2 linked regions of the Saccharomyces cerevisiae S288C genome follow. Each later gene encodes a partner of the first gene's protein in a complex. Each region holds a gene or a part of one and is shown on either strand. Other genes may lie near its edges. A codon is read from its position in the direction of its gene.

Region 1 (7,596 bases):
TAAACCATATAAAGGTTAGTACATGAAGAAGTGTGTACAGTTATGGCAATAACTGTTCTCTTCCGTTTTAAAGAGAGTATTATCACGGTCTGAAAATTAAGCAAAAAAAGAAAAGCGTGCACTTAAAAATCGGTGGTGGACAGACCGCATATTCCATAAACATAGATGGTACAAGGGCATTATGAGTCCTTGAATAGAAAAAATGATGAAAGAATGAATGCAATTCCGTATTGCGACACTGGCGAAGTGTTCGAGGCTGACACGATAGCGAATGTATGGAAAAGAGAAGATAAGGAATGGTTAAAAAGGACTCAAAGTGATCGAAGTGGATACGAGTATCCACGACTAGGAGAATCACCATATATCAATATGACAGACGACTTCAGAATGGAAAAGAAGGTAATATGTCAAGATATCTTTTGGTCATGTGATGGTACATCGTTTGTTTCTGTGCATAATGATTTTGGCATCAGACAATATTTAGTGCCGGAGGAAAGTAATACGGACAAGCTAAACAGAAACCTCCTTCTACCATTTACAAGGTTTTTTAGAAACCAGTCTATTGTTTCATGTGCAATAGACCCGTTTTACACGCTTTATAACGAGAATTCCGACAGGTTAGCTGGTGACAGAATCGTGGTTGGAGGAAAAAACTTCCCTCTACAACTATACTCTTTGATGGACGGGCAGTGTATCCTCAGCTATGACACGATGAACAAAATAAATGGAGAATACGAAACTGTATACAGTGTGAAAATCGATGTTGAGTCTCGTGTATACACTGGCTCATGCCGTAACAAAGTGGCGATATACGACAAGAGCAGACGAGATGCCGTGTGGATGAACCAGAGTACCAAAAAAGCAAGCAAGGGAAGACAAAGCATTATATCTTGCTTTGAAGAGCAACCAATGGGAGGGCAAGCTCTCTCAAGAGGATCTCTATTGTGTGGCAGTTATGCGAATGAAATGTTTCAGGTAGACTGCCGTCATCAACGACTAGAGAGACTGAACTACACCCGCACAGTTGCAGGTGGGATTGTACAAATCCTTACAAGCGATAACGGGCGTTACGTGTACGTTGTCAGACGCAACAGTGACGCGATTAGTATTTACGATCGGCGAAACCTGCAGCACGAGCTTAACGTATTGCGCCTACCGTTTCGGATCCACCACAACTCTGCAAAGTTGAAGGCATATATAGATACGGCTTACGGACTAAGTATGGGGACGCCGCAGGGAACAATATTGAACTGGGGTCGAGACCTTGTGGAATTTGGAGGTGTTCCCTCACACAATAGTGTTGAAGACCCACTAATCACGTCTATCCCGCCAGAGTCAGAGTGGCGCACTAACCTTGATTCTACTATTCCTGCCACGGTAGTGAAGAATTGTCCTGGGGATCCCGAACTGTTCGCCCTATCTCATGGGGGCACAATTTCATTATGCAGGTTCGGCGGCTAAAAACGGCAAACCCGTATTCGTGTATCACCCGGCCAGCTTTCTCCGATGAACGCGCACAAGTAAGAAGTTAAATTGCATCCCCCAGACACCACCTCTTTTGTTCACTTCTTGCCTCATGCCGTCAAAAAATTTTTTTCGCATCGAAAAAAATCCCCAAAAGAAAAGAAAAAAGTTCTTATTTTTATATAGTGCCACCATCGGGAAAAACTTCCCTGTAAAGCATTAACAGAGTCTTCCATCCCCGCTTCTGTCCTTTATTTGTTTCATAGAAGCTATTAAGCATCATATACTGCACACAGGAGCATGCATAGTGTCTGAAGCCTCTTTTGTTCTGTACTGCACATAATATTTCATAGAAAAACTAACGGAAAGAATCTACAACTCATAGTATCTGTAAATCCGTCCTATTGTCATATCACAATCACAGACTATGACCACTCAAGAATCGATCAAACCTTTGGTAGATAGAATCCTATCAAATCCCCTGCAGTTCAATGCTGCAATGATCTCTAACAAATCGAATAATAATGATACTTCCGCCGCGCCGGAAAATAGCTCGTATATTGTGATAGGAAAACAGCATAATAACAATAGTAATAGCACAGCTATTGCTGCAACGGCCGAATCCAAGCAAATAAAAGAAAATAACTTGATAGACAGGCCAAACGGAAAGAAAACCAACACTGTTCCTAAATCTATGGCTGAAGCTTTATTGTTGTATACTTCTAAAAATGATAAAGATGCTGCAGATGCTACTGGTGCCAAGAAGTCAGCGGAGCTTTCTACGGAGCTTTCTACGGAGCCTCCTTCCTCTTCTTCGGAAGATGACAAAGTAGGAAAAGAGGAAGAGGAAGAGGGTGAAATATTTCATGAGGCAAGAGACTATGTAGAACCCCGAAAAGCTAGTTTGAAGGAACGCGACAACGCAGATAAGGGCGATGGTGAAGACATCGGCGAAGACATCGGTGAAGACATCGGTGAAGACATCGGTGAAGACATTGGTGAAGACATTGGTGAAAACTTGGGTTCTCCATTAGCAACCATTGATGATTCATCTAATGAGAATGAAAAGGAAAAAAGAAAGGAACTGTCTACAAGCATTAGCAGTGATGACGAAATAGAAGACGACGAGGATGAGGATGACATGGATTATGATTCTAGTGCTATGGAAAAAGAGCTCCCTGAAGAAGAGGAGAACGATTCCAGCTCCAAAATTTCTGAAGGCGAAAAAAAGAGTTTATATCAAGATTTAATGGAAAATAGTACAGTGGAAGTAAATCGGTACGAACCAGTAAACAACACCAAAGAAAATGGAAACAGGAATCCAAAGGGAGAGGAGGAGGAAGAAGAGGAAGAAGAGCTGAAACATAAATCTAGGTCAATCACCCCTCCGGTTACAATATCAAATCTATCAAACTTTTACCAATTCAATGAAAATATCAATGATCGTGGTTCTTTAAACTCTACTAGAATTGTTAAAAATTGGGGCGACAAATTCACCAATTTGAAGCCTCGTGGCCTTTTGAATCATGGTGTTACTTGTTACACAAATGCTGCTGTACAGGCTATGTTACACATTCCTTCGATACAACATTATCTTTTTGATATACTAATGGGGAAATACGATAGCACCATCTCAAAAAATTCCGTTTCCTATACTTTAGCTGAAACAAGTAAAAAAATGTGGTTACCGGTCTCAAAAAACCCTAGAAAGAACGTTTCAGCTTCCTACATTAATCCAAAACATTTGATTTCCAGATTGGATGACATTAATTGTATGATGAGCGAATGGCAGCAGGAAGATTCACATGAGTACTTCATGTCTCTGATGTCAAGATTACAGGAAGATTCTGTTCCCAAGGGTCATAAACTTATAGAATCGATAATATATGACATATTCGGTGGTCTTTTAAAGCAGATCGTTACTTGCAAATCTTGTGGCAGTATATCTAAAACAGAACAACCATTTTACGATTTATCGTTGCACTTGAAAGGGAAGAAAAAACTTGATCCAAATTCTGACCTGTCGAGTGATAGCATTAACGGCACTTCAGCCACCACTTCTACCACTACCTCCAATGCTGCCACAAAACCATCTCTTTCATCCTCTTCATCTGTCAATTTAAACAATGGCTCACCATTTGCCGCTGCCAGTGATTTAAGTTCAGCCAACCGCAGATTTTCTATTGAAAAATCAATTAAAGATTTCTTCAATCCCGAATTAATCAAGGTTGACAAGGAGCAAAAGGGTTACGTTTGTGAGAAGTGTCACAAGACCACGAACGCCGTGAAGCATAGTTCAATATTAAGGGCTCCTGAAACTTTACTTGTGCATCTGAAAAAATTCAGATTCAATGGCACGTCCTCATCAAAAATGAAGCAAGCTGTTTCTTATCCTATGTTTTTAGATTTGACGGAATATTGTGAGAGTAAAGAGCTACCTGTCAAATACCAACTATTAAGCGTGGTGGTTCATGAGGGCCGCTCCCTTTCTTCAGGTCACTACATTGCCCACTGCAAGCAACCAGACGGTAGCTGGGCCACTTACGACGACGAGTATATTAATATAATATCTGAAAGGGACGTTTTAAAGGAACCCAACGCATATTATCTCCTATACACGAGGCTAACTCCAAAATCGGTTCCATTGCCATTGGCGAAATCTGCCATGGCCACTGGTAATGTTACCTCTAAATCCAAACAGGAACAGGCTGTTAACGAACCAAATAACCGCCCATTGAAGATTAATAGCAAGAAAAATAACAGAAAAAAATGGAAAAAAAATAAAAAAAGGAAGTTCACCAAATGAAAAAACTCGATATTCCTGGATTTTCCTCTTTTCATAGGCATTTTTATTAGCATTTCATTTTTATTATACCAAATCAATATATACATATAAATATCCGGTCTTTATTGACTTATAAAACAACTCTCAGTATACAGAGTTGGAGAAGCGTTTACTCAGAATAGCTTCAGTACTACCGAGCTTTGCTAACATAACGGGAGAAAGAGAATTTAAAACTTATATACATATTTACAGAATAGATCAGTAGAAAGAAGAAGGAAGGTCTGTTGAAAATTTCTCGAAATTGACGGTACTTTTTTGTCTTTTCACTACTTACAGATCAAGGTACAACCTTAATACCCATACTTTTTGCAACGCCAACTATTGATTTAACAATACCTTCCATCTCCAATAAACTATGCCTTTCATCACTCTTTTTTATCTTGGCTATTTCGTAAACGTGCTTCAGCGATAACTCTCCTAAAGCACGGGTTGGTCCCTTGGCAGGTGCACTGCCTAACATTGTCCCCACATTCGGTTGTCCATGTCCCTTGTCCATTTTAAGAGCTTTTAGCAGCAAATATCCGGTTGGTGGAGATTTCATTTCAAACGTAAATGTTCTATCAGGTTTTATTGTGATTAATACTGGAACCGGTACACCTGGCTGATAGTTTGCTGATCTTGCATTAAATTCCTTACAAAAGTCAATGGCTTTTATACCCTTGGAGCCCAATGCGGGCCCCACGGGAGGTGATGGTGCCGCTTGGCCTGCTCCTACTATTAGCTTTACTATCACGTTTTTTGCTGCCTGTGACATTATGGAGACTAATAGTTCCTCTATGGTATTCGAGAGTTCGAAAGTACAACAAACAGAAATAAATACAGAAGGTTACGCTGTCGATTTGAATGTTCACGCTTTTTTTCCTTCTTATGAGTTGTAGATTTACTGCACTTTCTAAAGCTTCTTTGCTGTGAAATTTTAGAAAAGGGAATTGTCGCCTTGGTAAGACAATTAATGTTACCCGCTTCATTATTATTAATTAGTGGCGCGATATTTTAACGAACTTTTCCATTAATTATTATCATACTAAGCTTTTACATTTTTCTGATAAAATAGTAGATTATGAACAGGAGGTCAATCTATTTAGGCTTCTATAGAACGGTAAAATATGAAATTAGTTTAACAGAAGTAAATATGACATTGTATTTTAACATATACTCAAATAGGATAAAAAAAGGTTATATACAAATGCTTGGAAAAGAAATAAAAGTGGGGACGCTTATTTATTGATTATTTTGCTTTTTCTTTTTCTTTTCTAGGCCTGCAATATGTGCTTCACTTTGATCCACTTGTGTGTGATGATGGTCTTCTCCTCTAACCACTTTGAACGATAATCCATCTTCAACCAAGTGGCACATATCAATGCTACGGATCCAAGGATCTTCCATGATTTCTTCGATATTTCCTCTGCATGCGGGCGCCAAATCAATCATACGTCCAACAATATGCTGAGTCTCTTCTGGTAATGAGTGCAACAATCTTTGTGGCCCGATATTAACATTATTAGGATCTGATACATTATTGGAAGAGCTTTCGGGTTTTTTCTTTTCTGTTGAGTGCGATTCATCGTAGGAAGGTGGATCAGGAGTTCTTGTAACCAAGCTACTTAAGGAGTCGCAATCACGTCCGGAACAAAATAGTTTGAATGAATTGTCCCTTAATTTCGGAATTTTCCATGGAAATTTCTTCAGTATCATACATGCAAAAATGATTGCAGAAGACCAAATATCTACGGGACGTGGGTCATACTTCGCAAATATACAGACTTCAGGTGCTAAATATGGATCACTTCCAACAATTCCACTTGCTTCCACAAGATTTTTTGAGAATGGATATGAAAATACCACAGCAGCACCAAAATCGATTAATTTTACAATACCTTTTTCGTTTATAACACAATTATCTAGCTTTAGATCTCTATGAGCTAAGCCGATACTATGCAAATATTGTACACCAGTAAGTATTTGTTTGAAGCAACAACAAATCTCTTCATAGGACATTTTATTACTCATTACAATAGCAAATAAATCGTATTCACAATATTCCATAACTTGGAGAATTCTATCATTTTCATACACGATTTCAATTGTTTCAATGATATTGGGATGATTCAAAGTTGTACCAATACAGTATTCTGATGTAATTTTCTTGACATAATCTCTTTTGGATTCATTTTCAAATTTAGTTCTAAACTCCTTCACTGCAAATATTTTGTTATCTGAAATTCTTTGAGCTAATTTGACAGAACCTCCTGCTCCAGCGCCTAAATCGGCACCGGTTTTGATGTACCTTTTTGAGAACGGAATTCCTGAACCGCCGTGACTATGAGAATAAATAGTATCTCCATTTCCGTTATAACTAGTGGAATATGAGTTATTCCCTGCGGCAAAATGAGACGATGAATGAGAGTGTGACGGAACGGCAATTCCGCTAGAAAGAGGTGATCCGTTCGGGATCACGTTGTTACTATTCGAGGAAAGGTTACTGTTAGAACTTTTTTTGAAGAACCTCTTTAAATCACCGATGGAAGAATGTTGTGACCTTGGAACACTTTGACTTGGAGGTAAGTGGTCATGTACAGATGAGGGGGAACCGTAAAAGTTATCAGTATAGGAACCAGTTGGCTGTCTTGATGCAGAATATATGCTGCTTTGTCTTGCGCGGATAGGCTTCGGGATAGGCGTCGAACCATTGGTAACATTGGGATTCTTAATGTTTGGAGAAGGACCATTGGAATTGGCAGAAAAAGACATGCCTGCAGAGTTAGAATTTGAAGATTCTTTTGAGTTTTTGGAAAAGAAAAAATTCCCAAGCTGTGAAGAGAATGAACCTGAACGGGATATAGATCTTGATTGAGTGGCATTTGCATTATTACTATCCATCGATGCTTTTTGGAGTTTTTGTTTGGAGATAACAAAACGTGGTTCCACGCTATCTACTTTTGGGGAGGATATAACATTTGAATCGATTGCAGAAATATTATTGGGCATACCGCCTGCATATGTTTCGAGCCACGAAGAAGACAAAGAGGAGCTGTTGCTATTCGAGCTATTGTTATCTTTGTTAGAATTTGGCACGGAGTAAGGTATACTTGATGATAAAGAAGGAATGGCCCTTCCTGAAGTATGTGACGTGGTAGATAATCTACTTGTGATTCTGTTCTGTGCAGCAAAAGAACCACCATGTGAGGAAAGTCCTGCAGTACCTTGATCGTTTATTAAGGATCCAAATCTATCTCTACTTTGTGCACTTGTGCCGTAGAATGATGCAGTGTGAGCAAAGTTTGCAT
Region 2 (17,499 bases), on another chromosome or scaffold:
GTGCGGCTGTCGTGGACAGCCTATTCAGTGTGGAAACAGCGGCAGAGGAGTTACCGAACCTCGCAAAAATGGAGCGTTGCATACTGAAAAAAAAACCTAAGTACTGTTATGATTATTGAGGGACAACAACTAGCTCTATTAGTTTTCCTTCCAACCAAACTTATATGGGCAATATATAGGAAAGAAAAAAGAAAAGAGTGGGATAAAAAAAAAAGAAACGCGAGCTGAGAAGGGAAGGCGTGTAAAGGAAGAACGGTTGAGAGACAGCAGAGCAGGGTGCAACACACAACCGAATAGAGTATCAGCTGACGGAATGGAGAAGTTTGGTATGATGCAAACGTTGTATTTCTAACAACGCATGGATCAGAACAATGGGCAAGGCAAGATGAAAAATTTCCGTTCCTGCTCTTTCTTCATATATGAACAATGACCAAAAAGCGCCCGCGGCCGCAGACCAATGAGCGACGAAGGCGGCCTTTCCGAGCGGTAGGGTAAGCCGTGCAGGCAAGCTTATTATAGCACCGTCGGGGGTACCACCACTATATCAAACTCCACTGCTCGGTAAAGCATTGTAGTGAAGTCCACAGCAGTGCGTAACGAGCAGCTCAACAGTTAATATAAAGATGCGTTGGTGGCCGTGGTCAAATCAGACAGAAGATCAAAAGCAGCAGCAACAACCGCAGGGTAAAGCAGATGGTGATCGCGTGCTGACAAATTACTCGCGGGGTCAAAAGATCCTCTTAGAAGACACTCCACCCAAGTTTGCCGATGACTTGTCCAATTCTCAGTTGGCCAAGAAGCAAGAACGGGCTACTTTGAAAGAGGCTTGGGACTCGATCAGATGGAGTGATTTTAGTTTGCAGAAGCTGACTTCAATCCCGTGCTTCAGAGACGCGGGCATGCTCGGGTTTTCCAGCATGTTCTTGATGGGATCTATTATATTTATATACCATAAGAGCCCGACTAAGGCCACGAATTGGGCGATGAGCTCTCTGATACTGGGCTCGATTGTCGGATGGGAGCAATGTAGGCTAAAGAGACAAAAAAGTTTCCAGATCGCACAATTGGCAAAGGAAACCGTGGCGAAAAAGGAAAAACCAATGCTCCATAATGTCCCTCATGACCCATCTCTGCCGGGGCAATGGGAGGCCGCCAAAAATGAAAAGCAGAGTCAGTTTGAACAAAGTAACCAGAATTTATCTCAGGCCTCCTCTGAGAAGAAATGGTACAAGTTCTGGTGAAAAGAACGAGGGGGAAACAGAAGGTAGAAGCAGGGCCTTTTAACCGTTTTCCTATGTATATATGCAACATTTCTCCGAAAATACTATAACTTCAATTGTTCACTTTCTCCATTTCTATATAAAAAGCATACATAGAGTTACAAATTTTATATATTACTTGACTGGTCTTGCATGCCGTCCGTATCGCTGCTGTGATTGTCATTATCTTCTTTAATGGACAATTGTTTAAACGTTTGTGTGGTTTCCTCGGCAGAGTTTCTCGTAGGCGGTAAAGAAAATGAATTTTCTGTTCCCATCAAATTGTCTGTATCCTCATCTTCGCCATTTTTGCCGCCGCCATTGTTTCGTACCCCGTCCTTGTTTGAACTTGACTGTGAATGATTCGGTGTGGATACCGTTGAGGACCCCTTGGATTTGGGTAAAGATGTTTTTGATGTGGAAGGTTGGCTGGTTCCTTCTAGTAGTTCATTGAGCACCACGTCATTCCCACCCGTTTCCTCATCGCTGTTGTATGCTTCTCCAGCAGTCTCTCCATCACCACCGATGGTCCCGTATGGCCCATCTGCTTTTTTGCTGAAGGGGTCGTCTGCATCACAAAGTAGTTCGTCTAGCCCGCCTCCAGACCAACCTTTCCTTGCAATATTTTCAGAAATTTCCACTTGTGCCCTAGATACCGTGGCAACTTTGCTGAGTACTTTGTTGCATGTATTTTCCACAAGTTCGTATGAATCCATGTAAAAATCGTGCTTTAGTGTCTCCAGTTGATCTAACCTTGCTTGCAAGCTAGAAAGGCTCTCTCGGTATGAGATTAAATTCCTTATTTTTCTTTTCGAGATATCGAAGTTATGTCTTTCCTGCAATTTCAATTTTAAACTTTGCTCTTTGCTTTGTGCTTTGAACTTGTTCTCCATTATCTTGGTCTGTAATTCGAATTCATCAATATCATCAATTAAATTATCTCCCAACAAGTCATTGAAATACTTTGACATTATAAGCTGATGATTAGATAAAAGGTAGAATAACCCACTGGCACTCAATAGTTTCTCCGCCGTTTCATCATTGCAACCCTTCAACTTGGCAATGTTTTCTAAGGAATGGGCAATTTCTGCCCCATTCTGAGATGTCTTTAATAACGAATCCGAATAAGCATTCGAGTTCCTGAGTAATGTCGATAGGGCTTCCTGGGTCTCTTTCACATCTCTCTTTGTGATTAGCGTTTGCAAGTCGTTTATTGTGCTCGTACCAGAAGTTATGCTCGATGCCCGACGGGCCTTTGAATACACTTTGGATGAACGTAAATGGTTCATGTCGTCCAGATGGTCGTTATTTTCTGAGCCAGCACTGCTAGCCACTGGTCTTTTACTATTTACAATTGGGTAAAATTCAGATAGATGAGGCGCGTATCTGTCGGGAGAGACGTCAAAATGGTTACCGTTGTCCCAGTCAACCCTCAGTCTCTGGTCACTTGAAGGAGATCCCTGCAATTGCTCCGTATTATTGTCAGGCATATCCGATTTCTCTTCCTGTTACTTTCTTTAACAATATTTTATTCCTTGGTGAAATTTAATTGACCCTTTATTCAGAATATATACTTCTATTGTATGGATATGGTTTTTTTCCACTTAATGTTTAGCATAAATTTCCATCTCACCCTTTTCTTGTAACATATCGCCCAATATTTTTTTCTTTTGCCCGCATTGACCATTTTTTCCTGTAAAACGAGTAATGTGAGCAGTAGAATAAGTGTATATCATCCGTTAAATAAGGCGCAATCTACCGAAGTTTGAGATCTAACTCAAGTTTTTATAAATTAGATACGTTTTTCCTTACTATTCTACATGAGATGGCCATTAGCATGAGATGACTTCAATACGCACTTCTGTTGGAACGCAGATAGGATGTTTACACTCGTCTGCTCTATTCTTTGTACTTTCAATAGAGCAAAGCAAGTGGTACCAATGAAGAGAAGGCCCAGCTGTTTTATTCCAGCGGCGAAGAAGTCTAGCCTATTCCTAATGTATTAGTACAGCTATACAGAACTTTCTCAGTCTAATTTTTGATGTACTTTTATACATAGATTTACACACTTTTCAAAACGTACTTACGTAGTCGGTTCAAGGGATACACCAATTTAGCCAATGAAGCTGGGCCCCAAGTGATCAGAGTTTCGTAATTGAGCTAGGATTTGCTGCTTTTTATTCCCTTTATCACCAAATGGTATTACCTAGTGCATCTAAGTTTTAGTTTACCCGGGCGAATTTTTTTTAAGGACTCGACGCATTGGATGAGAACTTGGCCTAAGGCATGGGAAGAAAGCGAAATTTCAAAAATTAATGAGACAATGTTGTTCTACTGTTAAGGGTTTAGTAGTTTAAAAGTCTCTCTTTCAATTTTGCATTGCAAAGAATTACCAGGACAATTTTCGGAGCAGTTAAGAAAACTGTACTTGAAAACACTAGGTCTATTTGTAATACTCTCTTTTCATTATGGATCACGACACAGAAGTTATAGTCAAGGATTTCAACAGTATTCTTGAAGAATTAACTTTTAACTCGAGACCCATTATTACCACTCTCACGAAGTTAGCAGAAGAAAACATTTCGTGTGCTCAATATTTTGTTGACGCCATTGAGAGTAGAATTGAAAAATGTATGCCTAAGCAGAAGCTATACGCTTTTTATGCCTTGGACTCCATTTGTAAGAATGTTGGCAGCCCATACACAATCTACTTCAGTAGAAATTTGTTTAACTTGTACAAAAGAACATACTTATTGGTGGACAACACCACAAGAACAAAACTCATCAATATGTTTAAGCTTTGGTTGAATCCTAATGACACCGGCCTGCCTCTGTTTGAAGGCTCAGCACTGGAGAAAATTGAACAGTTTTTAATAAAGGCCAGTGCTCTCCACCAGAAAAACCTGCAAGCAATGTTACCAACTCCGACTGTTCCCCTCCTATTAAGAGACATTGATAAATTAACTTGTTTAACTAGTGAAAGGCTAAAGAATCAACCAAATGATGAAAAATTAAAAATGAAACTGTTGGTTTTATCTCAGTTGAAACAAGAACTGAAAAGAGAAAAACTAACTCTCAATGCTCTGAAACAAGTTCAAATGCAACTAAGGCAGGTCTTCTCACAGGACCAACAAGTTTTGCAGGAAAGAATGAGGTATCACGAACTTCAGCAGCAACAGCAACAACAGCAGCAACAGCAACAACAACAACAGCAGCAGCAGCAGCAGTATCACGAAACTAAGGATATGGTCGGTTCTTACACACAAAACTCTAATTCAGCGATTCCATTGTTTGGAAATAATTCAGATACAACGAACCAACAGAATTCTTTATCTTCCTCTCTTTTTGGTAATATTTCTGGCGTTGAATCTTTTCAAGAAATTGAGAAAAAAAAGTCCCTAAACAAAATCAATAACCTCTATGCATCTCTTAAGGCTGAAGGGCTCATATATACTCCACCAAAAGAATCCATCGTAACGCTTTATAAAAAGCTAAATGGACACTCAAACTACTCTCTTGATTCACACGAAAAACAATTGATGAAGAACCTGCCAAAGATACCCTTATTAAATGATATTCTTTCTGACTGCAAAGCTTATTTTGCCACGGTTAACATCGACGTTTTGAATAACCCATCCCTGCAGCTGTCCGAACAAACTCTTCTTCAAGAAAATCCCATCGTCCAAAATAATCTTATTCACTTATTATACCGATCCAAGCCAAATAAATGTAGCGTGTGTGGTAAGAGATTTGGCAACTCAGAAAGTGAAAAACTACTACAAAATGAGCATTTGGACTGGCATTTCAGAATAAATACAAGAATTAAGGGATCACAAAACACAGCAAATACAGGCATAAGCAACTCTAACTTAAATACAACTACCACAAGGAAAAATATTCAATCAAGAAACTGGTATTTGAGTGACTCTCAATGGGCAGCCTTCAAAGATGATGAAATTACCTCCACAAAGCATAAAAATGATTATACTGATCCGCATGCCAATAAAAATATCGATAAAAGTGCCCTAAATATTCACGCTGATGAAAATGACGAAGGCTCTGTAGACAACACTTTAGGAAGTGATAGAAGTAACGAGTTGGAAATACGGGGAAAATATGTTGTTGTACCAGAAACTTCACAAGATATGGCCTTCAAATGTCCAATTTGTAAGGAAACCGTTACTGGCGTTTATGATGAAGAATCTGGTGAATGGGTTTGGAAAAATACTATTGAAGTGAATGGCAAATATTTCCACTCGACATGTTATCATGAAACGTCGCAAAATTCAAGCAAATCTAATAGTGGCAAGGTCGGTTTGGATGACTTAAAGAAATTGGTCACAAAATAAGAGCAGAACTGCATATATACATTTAAATTTAATAACTATATATTATATTAAATTCTTTGTTCTTGGTATTTGATGGGTTGCTCATTTGTTTATTTTTTTTTTTTTTTTTTTTGCTTATGTGTCCATTATATTATATGTAATTTTACATATGTAGCCAAAAGCCCAACTAATCATTAAAATCGATTAAAGACCGTAAAGTAAATTGTTCATTATAGAAGAAAACGACAAAGAAAAACAGGGTACACTTCGTTACTGGTCTTTTGTAGAATGATAAAAAGTCAATACGGTTTTATCTCCTTATTCACTTGAAAATCTTTTTCCATCAATTTGTTAATTTTAGCATCTTTTTCAGATATTTGACTTCTCGCATTTTCAAGACATTTCTTTGTAAAAGTTAAATCACCTTGAAGTGAAGTTATTCTAATTTCATTCCTCATAACTTCATCTGACAAAGACCGAATAATTTCATTTGCAACAGCCAATTGTTTTTCCTTTTCATCCAGCGCCGATGCTGCTTTCGACAAAACGATATCCACAAAGGAAAGACCATCTTCTTTCATGTCCTTCGAACATTCGGTGACACTATCCTTATTATCAATTTCAAGTTCTGTTTTTTGGGTTGATGTGTACATATTTGATTGTTGAGTACCAGTTTGTGAATGTGTTCCTAAAACGTCAACACTAGTTAAAATTTCTGTTGTATTACTGTCTGTTATATCGTCGAGTTGTTTCACTCGACGATCTTCAACGATTGGAACCCTTTTTCCAACAGAAAAATAGCCGTAGGACGCAGGTCTTGAGAAAGAGAGTGAGATGTTTTCTGATGCGTGCTTCCCATTTCCAGGGATTATTTTTGCTTTGTTAGAATTAAAAATACTGTCGAATTGCTTCTTTTCTGGTAGGGTTTTCGTTTCCATTGTGCTCAGCTGCACCAAAGACTTCACATCTGGCGGAGAAGAAGGCTTCACATTTTTAACCATTAACGGTTTTTTTGTAATTTGCAGTATATCCTTAGGCATAATTTTGGCATCTGCCATATGCTCGGGCTCGACCACATGTGGTTTGACCGACGTGGATATAGAAACAGGTTCACAGGACTTCTGAATATCAAATCCCATGTTGGAAACAAATCTCTGAGTCTTCATAAATGACCAAAATCTGGCTTTTTTTGCATCAGGCTTGTTCTGTAATTCGTTGTAGTAAATCTTAATTTCAGAACTCATTGGGTAATCTTCTATTTCACCTTTCAGTATAATGATGTCACTCTCTCTAAAATTATTGGAAATTGCTGATTTAAGGTTGTTAGCAAATATATCTTTAAGTAACTGCATTTTTTCGTTAATTATTTGTCTATCACTGTCGGAAAGCTCCGAAGGGAACTCATCAACCAACGAAACGGAAATAAGTTTCAAATTTGCAAGCCATTCTTGCCTCCAAGAGCTTTTTGAAAGGTTCTCCTTCGTGTTTTTGGGTTTGCTAGAATTAGTATCACTATGCGACACTCTTCTATTGCTTTTAGTAGGCGTGGTACTTAGCTTTGTTTCTTCGAATCCTAATGGAGAAGACACGGTTGGAATTTGGGATGGTTTAGCGGAAGAAGAATTTTGTTCTTGGCTATGTTTCCCTATATTGATATTTTTATTGGTCACATCATTTTTTTCAGTGTTATTTGTGTTTTCAAATGTAGAAACTGCATATAATGGCAAATATTGTAATCTGTCCTTCTTGTGCACTTGTTGGTAAAAGAAAGCACTTGATGTTTCATAGTTTTCAACAGAGCAAATGTCGTTAGTCACACTAGTTAATGGATTGCCACTTAAATAACTATGTTTTGGGATCCCTTGTTCAATAAGGTCAGTTATTGTTTCTTTATCGTATGTCGTTTTATCAGCTATCCTCCAAAGAATGTTTTTCGTCAATTCACGATCAGATTTTCGCCAATCCAATACAGGATCAAACCATTTGCCTGCCTGAATTTGGTCCTTTTCAGCACTTGTATCTAAATCATTAGTTACTTTGATTTCATTTGATTCACCAGAGCTTAAACTTTCCAAGTCAGTTAGGCTATCATTATCTGAAGAAGAATCGTCTGAGTCGGACACGTATACCAGCTCCATTTTTCCCGGGTGAGTTATTATCGTATTCATTCTCCCACGGCAGATCTTCTTTTTTTCAATTTGCTCATCCTCTGTATGATTTGCGAAAGATTTCTTTGAAGGTTGAGATAGAGAAACTGGAAAATTATCGCTATACTCATGCTTACTTGCACTAACTGGCTGAGATAGAGACACCTTATCAGTCTTATTTTCTGGCTTTTCAGTGGAAGCGATAGTTTCCAAAAAATTGGCTTTTTCTTTTGACAGAGCATCACTAGAAAAAGGTTTGCTTTCACTTTTAATGAAAGGAGCCTTGAGTACGTTTGAAAACAAATTTAATAAAGATTTGCTTTCAACAGCCTTGGAAACCGGTTCATCCTTTGATTTAACATTCTCCCGGTCAATCTCTGAGGATATTTTTGGAGCAGATTCAACCTGAAAAAGGTCATTAGTTCCAATTTTTATATCTTTTTTTTGTGTAACTTTATGTGTGGAAGGAAGAGCAGTGTTTTGTGATTTATTTAAAGGGTTTTGAATAGTTTTCTTAGCCTCATTTGATGATTCTTTCGTATGCAAAATATCTCGCACAATTTCCTTAGGCTCTAATTTCTTTTGGATGTTTATTGTACCGTTTGAGATATTTGGAGTTCGCCCTTCATTAGGCTTATGCTTTTTCATAGGATTCGGTATTTCTCCTAGCTGGGGCCTCTTTGATGGTGTAACATTCAGGGTATTGTTTCTCGAATCAATGTGGGATTCTCCTTGTACTTTTTGAAGCACTTTTCGACCATCTATTCGTACACTCTGTATCTGCTTTGTGGTTTCTTCGGTTACTTTGTTTACGTGAGCTTCAGTGCTCATGATTTCAGGCGGCCTCTTACCAATTTTCTTGTTTTCACCATTTTTATTCTTTGCAGAAGTGTTCATATCATTTTTCTTTTCTGTGCTTCGAGAAGTAGAGTTATAGTTGTTTTCTTGGCCTTCATATTCAACAAGAAAAGCAAGTTTTGTAGTTTCTTCATCTCTAGTGGAAAAATTTCGGCTGTTTCTACGCCCTTGAGGTCTGTCAGCTGGACTTTTCGACAAATGAGGTGACTTTAAGATTTCCATCCTCTTGAGGTCGGCGTCTTCCTTCATTTTTTGTTCAGATGTTATAGGCTGATGCTTCGAAGGTGCAAGTGTTTTCTCATCGTGCAGTGTTATTTTATCTTGATCAATGGCGACTTTTTTTGGAGATGGAACGATCTTCTTTGATGTTAGAGTTTCTGTCGTGGCTGACGTCCCATTGGTATCTAAGGCCGATGCGACCGTACTATTTGCACTATTCTCATCTAATTTTACTGGTTTTTCTTGATTTATTTCTAAACGCTCGTTAGTAGATTCCTCATTTATTCCATACACTTCTGTTTGTATGGCATTCGGTTTTGCAATTCCAGGACTTCTTGCCTTGCTCTCCTCCGGTGATATACCACTGTCACCGGCACTAACCTTCGGAACTGATAGTGAATCAGAATGGGCAAAGTTTTTACCTATATTCAACTTTTCTTCTTTTTTTTCTTCTACGGTATCTTTCCTGATAGATTTGTCCTTGGTCAAAGAAATCACAGAGGCGCCGATGTCTGCTGATCCTTTTTTAAGTGGCTTCTCTAAAACAGGCTGTTCGTTTGCCAAGTTTATGCCTAGAATCTCTTTAGAGTAATCCCTTATTTTCTCTTCACTTAGTAAGCTTTTTACTCCTGATAAAAATGAGTTATTGGTTTGTGATGTTGATATCGGTACTATGGTACGTACAGGCTTTGAATTGAAGGTAGAAGTTTGTTGCTGCGCATGCCGGGAAAATGCTGTTTGTTCAAAACTTGCTAGAGACCTGCTAGCATCATGTGAAGGATTGTTTGATTCAATTCTTCCTGCTGACGTTTTGGACCGAAGAAGGGAGAGTAGTTTGCTGTTGCTTATTTTTTCCAGATTTGAGTGAGGAAAAGAATTATAGTTATTTTTTTTCAGTGGTGAGGATTTTGGCTGTTGCAACTGTTTATGGGAAGTCGGTTTTACATCACTTGGTTGATGAGGTGAGGTATGAATTGCGGTTGACGGCCTTGAATAGTTTTTGCTTTTGGCAAACGTGAATAATGGAATTTTAGGTGTCTTCACTTCATTGGATTTTTCTTCTCTTTCAGGAATTTTATCATTCGGGGTTACTGGTTTTTTAGTAAACTTGGGAGTGCTGGACCTATTGGGTGTCTTATTGTCATTTGGCATTGGCTGTTTTCTTCGCTTTTTTGGTATTGTGGGTTGAAGCTTCCTTTTTTTTTTTATCCCCTGCAAAACGATGTCCAGTTAGAACTCTGACTGAATTATAAAACCTGAAAAGCGCTTATTTCGTTATAGGTTTATAAAAAGCTTCACTATTACTGTTATACCGTTTTTGTTTATGTGATGCGCTTTTGTTCATCTATTTAGTAATATGATTTGCGTTCGTTCTCAACGATAAAAATATTGACTAAGTACTTAATGGCAGTGCACATGTTTAAGGACGTTATAGCCAGTTACAAACACTTATGTTATTATTTCATTTATAGTATACTGCGGATATATGTACTCACATACAAAAATTTATTATATTTTCATTAATTTAAAAAAAAGAAAAGATATTTAGAAGACATTGCGCAAGGTCATTAATCCTTACCTAGCTTGTTCAAGATGTCAGCCCAAACAGTAGCAGGAGGTTGGGAAGCATCAACACCAGCCCAGATACCGGTCTTTTTGTAAAAGTCAACAATTGGTTCGGTTTGAGCATGGTAAGCAGCTAATCTCTTCTTCAAGGCGTCTGCATTGTCATCAGATCTTTGAACTAAAGCTTCACCGGTGACGTCATCCTTCATGTCTTCCTTTGGTGGGTTAAAGATCTTGTGGTAGGATCTGCCAGAGGCTGGGTGAATTAATCTACCGGTAATTCTGGCAACCAACAATTCATCATCAACCTTCAATTCGATGGCTTTTTCCAAAGGAGTTCCTTGTTCTTTCAACATTTGGTCCAATTTTTCAGCCTGAGGAATGGTTCTTGGGAAACCGTCCAAGATGAACCCATTCTTACAAGCTGGATTGTTGGTCAATTCATCCTTGATCATGTTAACCATAATGTCATCAGAGACTAAACCACCTTGGTCCATAATTTTCTTTGCTTCCAAACCTAATTGAGTGCCCTTTGCGATTTGAGATCTCAACATGTCACCAGTGGCCAAGTGAGCGGCATGGAAACGCTCTTGCAAATTTGGAGCTTGAGTACCTTTACCGGCACCAGGTGGGCCAATTAGGACCATTCTAATGGATTCTGAGCTAGACATTACTGTTATATTTGATGCTGTGTGGTGACTTTACCAGAGAAACGTTAATGTTTCTTTATTAAAGCTCTCGTTTCTGATAAACCAGGTAATCCATTTCAGAAATTTATGCGTATATATATATACAAATATGCGTAATAAAACTAGCCAGAGTGAAAAAGTCGAAAATCAAAAAAAAATGGGCGAATAAGGACAGAAGCCGCGGGCTGCTGCGGACAGTTCTCCGTGACAGGATCGCGCAATCGTGAGCTTTTTTCCTTTGGTTGTGAAAATTTCGTCACACTATCAAAGTGAACAAAGCACAGAATGTGTTTGCTACTCAATCATGTTCAAGTAAGCAACAGTGCCCAATGAACCTAAACAGAGCAACAGAGAAAACAGGAAGACACAACAAAAAATTTATATCATGCATGACATATGTTACCGTTAATTATATACCCAATAAATTATATATAGAAAAATAAAAAGGAAAAACAGAAAGGTCTAATAGACACTTAATATAGTTACAATGGAGAAGCAGTTTAGTTCCTTCCGCCTTCTTTAAAATACCAGAACCGATCTTATAATTCTTGAGAAGCCTTGGTAGCCTTGGCAGACTTCTTTGGCAACAAGTTTTGATGGATGTTTGGCAAAACACCACCTTGGGCAATGGTAACGTTACCCAATAGCTTGTTCAATTCGTCATCATTTCTGATAGCCAATTGCAAATGTCTTGGAATAATTCTGGTCTTCTTGTTATCCCTAGCAGCATTACCAGCTAATTCTAAAATTTCAGCGGCCAAATATTCCAAGACAGCAGTCAAGTAGACTGGAGCACCAGAACCAATTCTTTGGGCGTAGTTACCTCTTCTTAGCAATCTGTGCACTCTACCGACTGGGAATGTCAAACCAGCCTTAGCAGATCTAGATTGAGAAGCTTTAGCAGCTGAACCAGCTTTACCACCTTTACCACCGGACATTTTATATTTTATATGTATGAAATTTGTTTGTTTTGAAGTTGTTTATTCACTGAGAAATAACCAAATCCGTATGATGATGTAGTATCAAGAAGAGAAGTACAGATTGGAAGTAAATAGATGATGGTTCAACAAGACCAGAAAATCTACAAGCTGATTAGGAGTCTTATTTATATATTTTTTAGGTCAAGACTTATTGCTAGTATTTACGATCCACTGGCTGGCTTCGTGAACGGGGAAGGGGGTGAGAAAAGATTTTGAAATCAACAAAGTGGGCAATAACAAATAACAGCATGAGAAACCACATATCTCTACGGGCGTTTCTTCAACAACGACGAGTTAACTATTGTGCTCTTTTTTTGAGCCACCAAATACACTCCATTCCAATAGCTTCGCACAGTGAGGCGAAAATTTTGGAACAGCGCTAATGAATTATTTGTGAGCTCGGCGAGTTCAAATTTGAAGAAAACGCGGTTGGGTCGTTAACTATGGTTAGACGCTCAATGTCGCCCGAAAGGGAAGGCTGTTCTCACTTTTTCGCGCGTTGCACCCTTTCTTCCGCGAAAAAATGAGAACGATGGATTTAAAATCAAGAGAATTGGCCTTAGTAGTGGCAAATACTACCTTGGTTGGTTATCTTGTAACGATTGGTAAGAAAGGGGCATCTCTGTTTTCTTGATGTATATAAACAACATGATTTGATCATCTCAGATGGTCAGATTTATTAAAGACGTTTCTCTTTCCGCATTTTCGATTATTGTTATATTAAATTTATCCTATATAGACAAGTCAAACCACAAATAAACCATACACACATACAATGTCTGCTAAAGCCGAAAAGAAACCAGCCTCCAAAGCCCCAGCTGAAAAGAAACCAGCCGCTAAAAAGACTTCCACTTCCACTGATGGTAAGAAGAGAAGCAAGGCTAGAAAGGAAACATACTCTTCTTACATTTACAAAGTTTTGAAGCAAACTCACCCTGACACTGGTATTTCCCAAAAGTCCATGTCTATCTTGAACTCTTTCGTTAACGATATCTTTGAAAGAATCGCTACTGAAGCTTCTAAATTGGCTGCGTATAACAAGAAGTCTACTATCTCTGCTAGAGAAATTCAAACCGCTGTTAGATTGATCTTACCAGGTGAATTGGCTAAGCATGCTGTCTCTGAAGGTACTAGAGCTGTTACCAAGTACTCTTCCTCTACTCAAGCATAATGAAATCACTTCCTTTGGTTATAATTAATATTATTATTTATATGGGTATATAAAAATTAAAGTAAAGTAAAAAAAATTGTATAATAGTTTAATAATTTTAATGATTATAAGATATTTACTCGGTTGTAAAATTGTGTTCTCGAAATTACAAATGGTCTCATAGAGGGAATGCGCTTATGCGGCAAGGCAGTTTACTTGTAAGACTAATTATAAGAAGAATAAATAGTGTTGCTTATTAATGACTCAGAAAAGTTTCCACATGATATTTATTAGCTTTCGAAACTTCAGAGCATTGGCTCGTGTGAACAATACTAGATTTTTCCTCAAATTTTAATTCGTATTGCAGTTGCTAACTATTACAATTTTTGTTTATTTTATGCCTTGGAGATTGAACCCTCTGTTGTGATTAACTTCCTGTAAAAACTCCACGCAAGAAACAAAATATAAAAATAAAAAAAAAATTGGTAAAAAAATGAACAATAGAATACGCACGTATAAAAAAATACTAAAAATAAAATAAATGCCACCGACTCTATAAGTACACAGCAATAGTAATTAAAAAAAGACAGATGTCGCTGACTGGATCGTCAGCTGCACTTCAGTATTCCTTGATCCTCTCTCAAGTGGATCCATCCATTTCGGCCCCTAAATTTTTCTCCATCTCATCATACGATATTCCAAGTTGATCTTCGCTGACTAAGTAGGTTTTCCTACTATTCTATGACAATTCAAGTAGTAAAGTGCTTCTATTTTTTCGCAAACGATCATATTTTCCTTTAAAAGACGATAATGATTCTTCTGGAATATCAAATAATCACTCGCCTATGAGCTCAATATGGCCATTGGATGCCTTCTCTACTTCGAGTCCGCCTATGTTTAGAAGGTCGGCTATCATAGCATCATTATCAAATGTTGCATCTCCTTTTTGATTTTCCCGTGAACTTACTGAGCTTGAGCATGAGCTCAAACTTTCAGGAGTATTTATGTCATCACTCAATGGGTACAGCGATTTTGTGCACAACCCATCGATAACACTAAACGGTTTATCACTTAAAGACCAAACGTATAACTTTGGTACTTTTATTCCAATTCTTTTAGAATCCAATATTTCGCAAGCTTTATGGCCAATTTTCTTCCTTTTTCGATCTGGGGTTGGTAAGCTCTCGTCTTCATCTGTTGATTCATCATCTCTATAAGTGACCTCATCAATGTTGTAATCACTATCATAACTATCATTCCTTGGGCCTTCCGAAGAACATGTGAGGTTGGATAAGTCTTCTCTTGAACTATTATAGAGGCAATCAATATCCTTTTTCCTTGTATTAATAGCGACGTTGTCTAGACTAAAGGTGCGATCAGGTCCATCGAGCTCTACTTCGTCGATTTTATGCACATGCTCGTTGAGATGAAAAAAGCTAGACACATCTAATGTAGAAAAATGATTGCATTCACTGAAATGACCATCATCCAAGTTAAGGGGCGTACGGTCCTCAAAACAACTGCTACTATATTTTTTTTCGAGTGGTCTTGGATTTTTCACTCCCTTATCCGTACCATCCATTGGTGTCAATATCACGGCCTCATCAAAGTCGACATCTGATTCCGTTTCTGGATATTGGTGTGTAATACCTCTATTATTATTTATCGATACTGTTTCGCAACTATCGATGTGGTTGTCTACTAAAATATCAACACCAATGTCCTCTTCATCTTCATTAGTTGTTGAAGCCGAAGGACTGTGGTATTGTCGGTGAGATTCACTTTTACTTGTTGGCAAACCGAGCAGTACTACAGCCGAATTCGCCCCGAAGTTTACATCGCGCTTATTACTGACATATGTAGTATTGCCAGCTGACGTGAGCTGGTCATTAAATATATTATCTGCTTCTGTCTTAGAGCTGCTGCCAAGAGACGTCTTTTCCTCTACCTCGTTGGTGTTTTCCTCCCTAGAATATTTATAAGAATTTTTTTTTTTCTGTCTATTACTACTTTCTGGTTTTAATCGTTTAGCACTAATATAGCTACTCTCAAAATCCGAGGCCTTACTTATAGAGGGGTCCCAAAGAGCATCAAAGCTGCCATCATTATTGGATGAAAGGACGACAGTTGAAGAGGACGACGAAAAGGAAGCAGCTGTACCTGTCTCTTTTGGCTTTTTTTTATTTGGACTGTGTGGCTTGCGCCGCACGGTACTGTTAACAGGCGCACTAAGCAACATTTTAAAAGACTTTTTTATTCCGTACTATACCGCTGCTGTTCAGTTAAATGGTAACCTTCTTATAACTTTCTAGTGACCGCAATAATTATATTCCTTCTTTTAAGAAATTTCTCGATACAATTATAGAGGGCTTTTGACTCATTAATCTTACTGGAACCATTGACAGATTAGTCCGAAGAAGAAAACTCTAAAAAATCCGCTAGTAAGATTCAACAAAAAAAAAGTCTGCTTGCTATGAAAGTCTGATTTCTAGAGTACACACCTCTATAGCTACACTCTCAACTGATTGCTTCACTTTTTGAAAGAGGAAGAAGGACAAGAACTGGATTCACAAACTCAACTACATCTCGGTTTATCCGTTTAGACCAAGGTTTTATATAAGGCGAGGTAGAGTTCGGAAAAGGAAACTTTCATCGACTTCCCTTAATGATTATTGATTCCCCTTTGCTTTCTCTCCCCAACATTTGAAATATGATTTCTTTTTATTTCGAAAATGCCATTCTTCTCGTTCCCGTGATGTTTTCAATATGCATGCGGCAAGGGGAACATGATATTTCCGTTCTATGGCTTACGCAAGTAAGAAGCATGGCGCAATGATGCAATAGTCCATGGGGGAAAGTGTGGCCTCAAAATGAAAAAAAAAAGTGATGATAAATTAGTTATTAGGTAGTGATTATGTAAAAAAATTCGATTACACATTAATTATTAGGTAAAGTTGGTAGAAGAAACAGGAGAGAAAAAGAAGAGAAAAAAAAGGACAAAAAACGAATTTCATGTGGAAGTGTTCACGCTTTTGTTCAACTAATGAAGGTGCTCTCAACGATAGAAATACCTTTCTCGTGCTTATATTTAGAAGGTTGACAGTATTGATAAATGAAAGGTTTGATGCTCACAATTTTCTGAGCTAACGACCTGACCATGCTTGGTAACTCACCGAGAACGTCGTATCGATTAACCAGCCTCAAGTCGTGTTCTGAAAATCCACCGGGGAACTTGATAGAGGTTGGATATACCCAGCCGCTTTCCTTATCTGTACTCGTAGCACGGAACCTAACATGACGTTTTGGGCTCTGCACAGAAGAACCAATAGATATCAGTTTGTTTTTTTCAGTAATTGACCAAACTGTTACGGTGACGTTATCATGATCTCGAGGAGTAGTGAATTCAATTGCTAAAACAGAGTAGTTTTCGCTCTGAAAACATAGGAAATTCCATTTACTGGCTGCTTTATTCGGCAAAAGACCTTGAACAGCGTCCAGATAAACGACAGGAACATCAGTTAATGAAATATTTTTATTTTGAAAGTCCCCACTATTGAGTTTTTTATCGTAGGAAATATTACCATTACATTTACCTCTGGGCACAAAAACATGTCTGATCATTTTGTCTGAGGAAACGAATTCGTCACTCATCGAGATTTGTTTGTCAAAATAATAATTGCAACCGTTGGGGTTCATCTTAAAACCTTGAAACAAATCCACCAACAAATCGATTTTCAAATTTTGAATTGTATTGTTACATGTTGGTAAATCACATTTGATAGATAACTGGCCAATGGAACCTAATTTTTCATTTTTGTTGCTCAAAAATTCAAAAATAACATTTCTAGAGACAAACTTTAATGGTTGAAATTCAGCTATGTCATCCAATTTAAAACTTTCCCAAACGTCGTAGTCAGTATTATTACTTTCTGAGCCAAAAACCTTGAAATTCAATTGGAAGCCTTTATAGATACCACCCATAACCGTAGAATACAGTAATTGAACAAATCCACACAAGCCTGTATGCAAATCTGTGAAATATAACGTTTGGGTCTCGACTCTGGTCTCCATCGATTTTTTCATCACTCTGAATAAACCTCTACCACCATCTGTCTTGTTACTTATGGTGTGTTGGTAGCCCGTTTCACTATCATTGTGACAATACCACTCCAATGGTTGGATGTCATTAATAAGAGTATAGTTCTTACTCTTACTTACCGGTTTTTTGTAATCTACCTCTTTAATAGGCGCAAACTTTATCTTATCACTGCTCGATTCAAGCATCACTAAATGAGTCTCTATG

The links.
Region 2: the proteins of UBP10 (region 1) and SIR4 are in contact, whole or in part, in a crystal structure (PDB 6RR0), measured with the Saccharomyces cerevisiae proteins. Residues at the interface, in NP_014213.2 of Saccharomyces cerevisiae: Leu117 (codon at 2,240), Ser118 (codon at 2,243), Thr119 (codon at 2,246), Glu120 (codon at 2,249), Leu121 (codon at 2,252), Ser122 (codon at 2,255), Thr123 (codon at 2,258), Glu124 (codon at 2,261), Pro125 (codon at 2,264), Pro126 (codon at 2,267); in NP_010513.1 of Saccharomyces cerevisiae: Leu969 (codon at 7,059), Ser970 (codon at 7,056), Lys971 (codon at 7,053), Trp974 (codon at 7,044), Glu977 (codon at 7,035), Trp978 (codon at 7,032), Asn981 (codon at 7,023), Ile985 (codon at 7,011), Asp1032 (codon at 6,870), Lys1064 (codon at 6,774), Arg1066 (codon at 6,768), Trp1068 (codon at 6,762), Lys1072 (codon at 6,750), Arg1075 (codon at 6,741), Phe1076 (codon at 6,738), Asn1079 (codon at 6,729).

What each region holds. Positions count from the first base shown.
Region 1 is NC_001146.8:287,607-295,202, forward strand, and holds UBP10 (ubiquitin-specific protease UBP10), read left to right. Parts: upstream 1-1,891; coding exon 1,892-4,270; downstream 4,271-7,596. Other genes in the region: KAR1 (Kar1p), read left to right, coding at 1-3; SWT21 (Swt21p), read left to right, coding at 388-1,461; mitochondrial 54S ribosomal protein uL11m MRPL19, read right to left, coding at 4,587-5,063; YNL184C (uncharacterized protein), read right to left, coding at 4,951-5,277; serine/threonine protein kinase NPR1, read right to left, coding at 5,531-7,596. UniProt on the Saccharomyces cerevisiae protein: Deubiquitinating enzyme involved in telomere and HM loci silencing, which is the repression of chromatin structure which leads to a stop in the transcription of nearby genes.
Region 2 is NC_001136.10:910,035-927,533, reverse strand, and holds SIR4 (chromatin-silencing protein SIR4), read right to left. Parts: upstream 9,964-17,499; coding exon 5,887-9,963; downstream 1-5,886. Other genes in the region: HEM1 (5-aminolevulinate synthase), read right to left, coding at 1-82; COX20 (Cox20p), read left to right, coding at 624-1,241; IVY1 (Ivy1p), read right to left, coding at 1,388-2,749; PCF11 (Pcf11p), read left to right, coding at 3,728-5,608; adenylate kinase ADK1, read right to left, coding at 10,380-11,048; HTA1 (histone H2A), read right to left, coding at 11,606-12,004; HTB1 (histone H2B), read left to right, coding at 12,822-13,217; CRF1 (Crf1p), read right to left, coding at 14,032-15,435; YDR222W (uncharacterized protein), read right to left, coding at 16,233-17,480. UniProt on the Saccharomyces cerevisiae protein: The proteins SIR1 through SIR4 are required for transcriptional repression of the silent mating type loci, HML and HMR. The proteins SIR2 through SIR4 repress mulitple loci by modulating chromatin structure.